Solanum lycopersicum: one gene and its partner. The protein of the gene in region 2 binds, or shares a complex with, the protein of the main gene of each other region. Links are inferred from orthologs where the notes say so. Each region holds a gene or a part of one and is shown on either strand. Other genes may lie near its edges.

Region 1 (3,828 bases), about 4.2 Mb from region 2:
ATACACAATATTTAAGCAACCTCAGATGAGCTTTCTCAATCTATTAACTACGACCTGCACTTGCCTTGAACAAGAGTTGCTTCCCAAAAGAAAGGACATGGAAAGGGAAGAGAACCACAGGATGAGCTTAACACGCCTACTCTAGTGCAGATGAAGTTAGTAACTACTAAAACAAAAGGTCATTTGTTACCCATAAGTGTTAGTCCTTGCTCTCAAACTTTAAATGCTCAACAATGTAAATCAAATAACTGCAATGACTAACATCTAACATGAGAAATGTAGCAATAACCATAAAAACAATAGTTGATTGGTTAATAGGTAGATAGCAATATTATTATTCAAATATTGAAGACCAATCTAGGAAAAATTCATGCCTAGTATGATTTATAGTGAGCACGGCAATGCTGTGCAACAACAACAACATACGCAGTGAAATCCCACAAGTGGGGTCTAGGGATGGTAAAGTGTGTGCAAACCTTACCACTACCCTGTGGAGGGTAGAGAGGCTATTCAACAACTGAAAATCAACAACTGAAAATCAACAAAGTAGGCAGCTTGATAAAATAGTTTAAGAGAGAGAAGATATAGCTGTGTCCACGTCCCATTCTCACACCAACAGCGACAGCCTAACTACTTCTGGATCAGACTAACCAGAGGTGATGGTTAAAGCACAATTCCAAATTAGGCATATGTAGCAAACCAGCAATCCACGATAAAAATGTTCAAGGGGAAAAACACAAAAGGCTTGTGAGCAGTGCTTGGGAAAGAAGTCTCATTTAACCCTGACAACCTTCACAAAAGGTGCACATTCTAGATGGAATATTTTGTGTAAATATTTTTTGATAAGCCATTTTGTCTACATATAAAGAGCATGATTTGCTTAGTTTTTTCTAGTTTTGTCAGAAGATGCAGTTGCAGTTGAATTGATCATCAGAAATACAAGTGAAAGGACCAGCACAATGAAAGGAGAGCCACAAACCGATCTGGGTCTCTTCTTAAAGTCAAAAGCTTTGGTTGCGCTGTCGGATCTGGTAATTCATTTCTGAATCTGCAGAGAACACACAAAAATTACAGAATGCTCAGCAATATTTAATATGTAAAACAACTTGTTTGTCCCATATGATAGCATACCATAGTCTTTTCACAAATAATCCTAACAGAGAAAGGAACATTTTCAAAGACATGACATAATAGAAGAGAAGTCATTCAGTAAATAACTAAATACACTTACCATTTGAATAAATGATGTTCATTAAGTTTATCACCAACCTACCCTAGGGAACAAACATCACATGTAAAGTTCACCCTTACAACGACCCAAACTGAAACCACACCGACAAGAACAAATTTGAACAGAACTAGAAGAAAGCACAAACTAAAAAGGATCTCAAAGCATCGCAACAAGATGTCATGTGCTATGGGGGTGAATGGTAAGGTTATAGTTGCATGCTTAAAGGGTTATTTATCGTCTCATTACAAGGAAAGTCAAATCATATAATGGTATGTAACATTCCGAAGTATCCCAAACTAAACATTACTTTCGACCAACCAGTGTGTTTGAAAACTCCAATCTCCAGCAGAGCCGACACTAGAAAATATCAGGTAACTAATCCAACATAGAAATAGAATAATTGGAATATTTAAGGATCAAACAATCACTTGGCTGTAAATCCAGAATTAACGTCTTACTTTAACTTGCAAAGAAATGTTGTCGGCTTCTTCAACCGGTTTTCTGTCCTCTCTCCACTTAACAAAGGGGTGGTTCTTCTGTCAGCCATATGTGATGCGCTGATCGACCCATGACCCTTCGTACCAGAAGTTAACATTTGGGTTTTCTGCAGAACCTTATTCTGTGATTCTTTCAAATGCTGCCTATTCTTCTCTTCATGCCTTTGCTTTTCTATCTCTCTCTTCTTCCTTGACCTCCTCTCTTCCTCAGTCTCAACCCTTCCTGAATGAGCATTGGATTTTTTCATTGGCAATGGGGGAACAGAATGGTCTGGCTGTTTAGAACGAGCAGTGTGGTTACCATGCCTTGATTCACGCCAACCAGACTCTCGCCTTTTCTCTACACTGTGCCTGCTTTCATTACGTTGTTTCTGAGGGGGAACTGATGAAGGAGGTGGCGGAGGGGACGGTGGCTGAGAAGGTGGGGGAGGAGGAGGAATAGCAGAAGTTGGAGGAGATGAAGGTGGAGGGGGTGGAGGTGGGGGCTCCAAGGGATGGTTTTGGCTATACTGGGAGTCCTGAGAAGATGGATAATACATTGGAGCAGGAGGGGGAGGAGGCTGCCCAGAAGGTGGTGGGGGAGGTGGATATGAAGAATCCGCAGGAGGAGGAGGCGGAGGTGGATACTGATTTCTGGTGGCAGGAGGTGGAGGAACGTAACCAGGATGCTGATAATTTGAACCCTGGTGTACCTGAGAGTAATTCTGCTGAGCATACGAAGATCCATCATTCACCCCATAACCCCCCCAATTCTGCGAGTACTGACTTCCCCTGGATTGAGACGGCGGTGGCGGAGGGTTCTGATTCTGCGGAGGCGGTGGCGGAGGAACAAAACTCGACTGCGATGATGGAGGAAATGGCCTATACGAAGCCATGGGACACTCAACAACAACTCCTCCAAATGCAAACTAAAACCCTAGAACCACAAAATAAGCTCTACAATTCACAAATCCTCTTTCTTACCACTTCAGATTTACCTATAGCGCGCACACACAAAAAAAAAATCAAATCAAAAGAACCCTAATGAAAACAAAACAAATAATTCATTGAATTCAGCATTCTCAAAATCCAAAAACTGGGTAACCTAACCCAATACAATATTGAACCCCTTCTCAATTCTGCAATTCAAATTTGATAATGGAATTCGAATTCGAATCAATCAAATGAAGCAGAAACACAGAGAAAACGAATAGCAGTTCAAATTAAACAAGGAATCAATTGGAACATGAAGAGGGAATTTGAGTAGGAGACAAAGTGTTTGTTTAGCTCAGCAAAATTGGCACTTGAGTTAGCATCACCAATATATAGCCGTCGCCTATGTTTTTGCAACTTTCCCAAAAAAAAAACAAAAAACTTTCTTTGACCAAATATAAGAAAAAATTACTCTTTTCTTGTCCAATTCAAATTTTGCACATTATTTAAAAATTAAAAATGATAATTAATATCACTTACTAATGGTGAAAAATAATTTGAAGAATAAGTAACAATCTATTTTTAGAATAGAATAAAGAGAGTAACATCAATTTCTAACGAGACACGAGATTTACATGTTTATTTATTCACAGAAAAGTATTCAGGATTTCGAAATAATAAGTTCATTATTATAAAAAGGCGAATCTATTAGATCTGATATTTAGATTCTTGTTACTGAAAACAGTTAAAATTTTGAATTACAGTTAGATTCTTATTAGTGACAATGGTTAGAATTTTAAATTACAGTTAGATTCCTATTAGTGACAACGGTTAGAATTTTAAATTACAGTTTCAAAATTGAAATGCTTAATAAATTAAACCGCCAAAAAATTGTTATCAATATCCACCTATAAAGACGTTACTAAATCTTAAAAAGAAACATAGAACAATTTAGATATAAAACTCAAATTTCTAATCTCAGTGAGAGGTGCATTCAATCATCGTCGCATTATATGATACATCAAGTGTGATCACACATTTATGTTTAACAAAAAATTAAGAAAAATATACAACATTACTATTTCAACTGGAAGCATGAGTTTATATGAACCCGATAATTCCCTCCTGCATACGACTCTGTTTATTCATAATACTAAAAATGAATGTTCACTTTTACTTGTTCAGTTT
Region 2 (3,891 bases):
CAGTTTTCTTTTTGGAGAAATATAATTCACTTACAGTTGTCGTGCCATCAGGCTTCCTAACTTTCCTCCATCGAACAATGTTGTTAACTAAGCTGAGGCGCTTCTTGGATCCAGATTCATCAGTCACGAAAGCATCTTCTTCAACGTATGTCTCTGGATCAAAGGGCTTGGGATCAATGCCCATTATGTTAGAAACCTTGATCATGCTCATCTGCATCATAAGAAAGTGAACAAGTAAAAAGTTCAGGAATAAGCACCAAATGATATTTTTCAATCATTAAGGTTCGGGTTGATAAAAAGGCGGAACGATAATGACAAACATGAATGAAGTTTTAAATATATCACAACTCCACATGAGCAATAGCATCTTGTGGACCAATTGAATTTGCTAGTTATAAAAAGAAATAACTGGACACAGTTTAGCCTGATTAGAAGTTTCTCCAATAGAAGCTTAAAATCTATCCAAGGTTTTCACAGCGGATAAGACATAATACCTTGGATTTAAAGAATCCATGTTAGAAATTGGACAACTCAGCTGCAAACTAAGCAGGAGGGGGGGTGACACGAAAATATTGCGGAATTACATCAGTAGAAACAAGAAAGAGTACTGACGTTATCTGAATAAGTTGGTGGTGGACGCAATGGGATCTCCAGCTCTAATGGGGGCCCAACTGGTTTTTCCTTAATTTTAGATTCCACATGCTCTTCTTCAGACTCGTATCCACCATCATCTTCAGGTATTATATCTTCTTGCTGCAATTTGCCGTAGCTAGTTTCTTCATCCATTAACTGCAATGAAAAATATTTTAAATCCCTAAGTGAACCAAACAACTACTAAAGTTGAAATGTGTAGCACTTGTACAAACATTTTGCTCCTCATCAATTTTATTCCGAACGACATAATCAGCCTCTTCTTCATCCTCTGAATCCCCAAACACATCACGAATCTCCGGAGCAGAGGATAAGTGGGCCTCATCTTTCTCTTCCCCAGGAGATCTACTGCAAAACAGAAGATCACTGTGATAAAAAAAAATTGGATGCTAAAAAACAACATAGAGAAGAATTCCATTTTCCAAGATGAGAAATCGAAATTCCACCAACCAACTTATGCAACCAAACCTTTTATAATATGTTTTATGCTATTGTCCACATGCTAATTGATATCAAATGATATGAAGATTTTACAATAAATAAACCCTAGCAGAATCAGCAATTAGCAGTTGCAATAGGACTCATGAGCTGATTATGAGAATACCATAACATAAATCTACATTCTCCCTGAGCAAAAACATCAGGAGGAAGGGGGGAGATAGTAGAGACAGGAAGGAACAGCAATACCTTGGACTTCTTGCTTGATTTACTTCCTCGTCTTCATTGTCACCGTAGTGGTTTTCCTCAGATCTTTCTGACTCACTGTCAATTACATCCCGCCTCCTACTAGTCACTACTCTTTGACCATATTCTTCTTTTTCATCACTCTCTGACTCTCTTCCTTCACTTTGTGCCCTCTGATCACCAACCTCTATTTCCTGAGAACTCTGATCTCTTTCACCCTCACTCTCTCCATGCCCAGGATCAACTTCTTGCATTTCACCTTCACTCTCCATCTCAGCTTCCCCTTGCCCTTCTACTTCACCTTCAACATCACCATCTCCTTCACCTTCACCTTCACCTTCACCATCATCATCACCTTCACCTTCACCTTCACCTTCACCTTCACCTTCACCTTCAATATCAACTTCTCCTTCGCCTTCGGGATCCAAGCCTCCATCCCCGTCATCCTGAAGCAGAAAGAAGTAGCAAGGAACAGTTTCAAAGTCCAAATGTTATGTAACCAAACACAGAGAAGAATGAAAAATGTGAATTCCAATTCCAAGAAGCAAAGGTAACATTGACTGGAATTATGAAGCTTTTATTTTGTTTGACCAAGACATAAACACATGAGAGCATGTTAGATCACTTCAAGTAATGTCCTCAAGTAGAGGGCTGAAACAATCAAAGAAAACTACAGTACTATGGCCCAGTAAATCTTCATACGCTACATCTATAAATAACACCAATAAGCAATAAGACTGCGCATCAGAGATTATCATCCACGATTCCAACCATCGGTACAAAATGTATATACCGACAATTATAGGAAAAGCATCCCCTAATTCTTGTTTTCCAAATAGGATTCAACTTTTACAAATTCATTCAATAGGAAATTCAAAGGTAATACTATAAATAGTGTCTCTTTCATCATTCATTCAGCTAACATGCCATAGAACAAGTAAGTTCGTTCAAACCACAGAACTGGCTACACATATTCAAGATTATTCAAGATTCCTTTCCTTGATTTTTTTCCCTTCATACAGCAGTACTAAATTGCACTAAACCTGTTCATTTATCCCTTCAAAATCATTCTTGTACCCTTAGAACCAATAAACATACCTTATATATAACCAATTAGGGCCAAGTTCAAAAAAATCAGCAGAAAATCAAACAAAAAAATATAACATTCATTCACCGACTAAAAACTCAACAAGAAAACAACTCGATTAATCAAAAACATCGAAATTCAGATTAAAATAAAAAAGATCAAACAGATTATTCAAGATTCCTTTTCTTGATTTTTTTTCCTTCACATTAGTACTAAATTGGAGTAAAGCCCTTCTAAAATCATTCTTGTACCCTTAGAACCAATAAACATATCTGATATATCACCAACCAATTAGGGCCAAGTTCAAAAATTCCGCAGAAAATCAAACAAAAACATATAGCATTCATTCACCGACTAAAAATTCAACAAGAAAACAACTCGATTAAGCAAAAAACATCGAAATTCAGATTAAAAAAAAGAAAAAAATCGAACCGAAGGCTGACGATTGGATTCATGTTCGGATTCGACCTCCTCTTCTTCTTCCTCCTCCTCTTCCGATTGGTCACCGAACAGGTTTTGCATCATCTGATGCCTCTTCTTCTCTTCACCCACCATGGCTCCTCTTTGCTTTCTCTCTTCAACTCGCTGCTTTTTTAGCCTTTTTCCCTTGAGTTTCTGAACACTGTTTTGTAACGCCTCTCACAAACTGTGTGAAGCTGAGTAATATCACACCTGTATTAAAAGGTTTCCCTAAACTGACTGACAGTCACAGATAAAACATGACAAACCAATGATAAATTTAAGAAAATATAAAATAATTAGGTTTTCCAATTTTTATTTGCTTGTCTTTTTTATATTTGTTACAAGCGGTGACCCATTGCGTACTTTTCACACGTAGCATCTTAAGCGGTGATGGAAATTGTCTGCGAGCGAAACAAACTGTGGGTCCCTGTTTGTAATCTGAGTTGGATTTATTCACAACAAAGTCAAAAATGTTTTCAAACTTATTTTGGGCTTTAGTTCTTTTAAGGAGAAGTCATAAATGTCCTTACCGATCGTTTAGTAAAATGCATTACAAAAATAATATATACATTAATTTTAGAGATAATTATATATAGGGAAAATTGTATATAATAGCAAATTAATAACCTAAATTAAATGGAATAGCTAGGGTTTGATTTAATTGTGCTCCATAGCAAACATTAGCTAAAATTTGTCAGCGTCTCTCTCCCAAAAATCTCGCTCGTCTCTCTCGCTTTATACACAGAAGTGTATAATTTTGTTTCTGTTTTGTATAAAGCGAGAGAAAATTGTATATACACATGCAAAAATGTATATCTTTGTGTTATACACTTAATTATACAATTTACAAATATTTTACTTCAAATATTGCAGAGAAAAAGGCCAACGAATTATACAATTTCGAATTATACAATTGCAATGAAATACAATTTTCTCTAGCTTTATACAACAGAAGTGTATATATTGTGTTTCTGTTTTTGTATAAAGAGAGAAAAACATATATCTTC

Evidence for each region.
Region 1: protein LEO1 homolog (region 2) and protein PAF1 homolog share a complex: the UniProt entries of both Arabidopsis thaliana proteins name them as parts of the nuclear PAF1 complex. The link is inferred for Solanum lycopersicum from reciprocal best matches to the Arabidopsis thaliana genes VIP4 and ELF7.

Annotation. Positions count from the first base shown.
Region 1 is NC_090802.1:66,089,958-66,093,785, reverse strand, and holds the start of protein PAF1 homolog, read right to left. Parts: upstream 3,122-3,828; 5' UTR 2,604-3,121; coding exon 1,690-2,603; intron 1,049-1,689; coding exon 980-1,048; intron 1-979. UniProt on the Arabidopsis thaliana protein: Component of the PAF1 complex (PAF1C) which is involved in histone modifications such as methylation on histone H3 'Lys-4' (H3K4me3). Involved in regulation of flowering time.
Region 2 is NC_090802.1:61,885,649-61,889,539, forward strand, and holds the start of protein LEO1 homolog, read right to left. Parts: upstream 3,090-3,891; 5' UTR 2,978-3,089; coding exon 2,855-2,977; intron 1,782-2,854; coding exon 1,339-1,781; intron 1,000-1,338; coding exon 867-999; intron 790-866; coding exon 613-789; intron 212-612; coding exon 35-211; intron 1-34. UniProt on the Arabidopsis thaliana protein: Component of the PAF1 complex (PAF1C) which is involved in histone modifications such as methylation on histone H3 'Lys-4' (H3K4me3). Involved in regulation of flowering time. Required for the expression of the flowering repressor and MADS box gene FLC.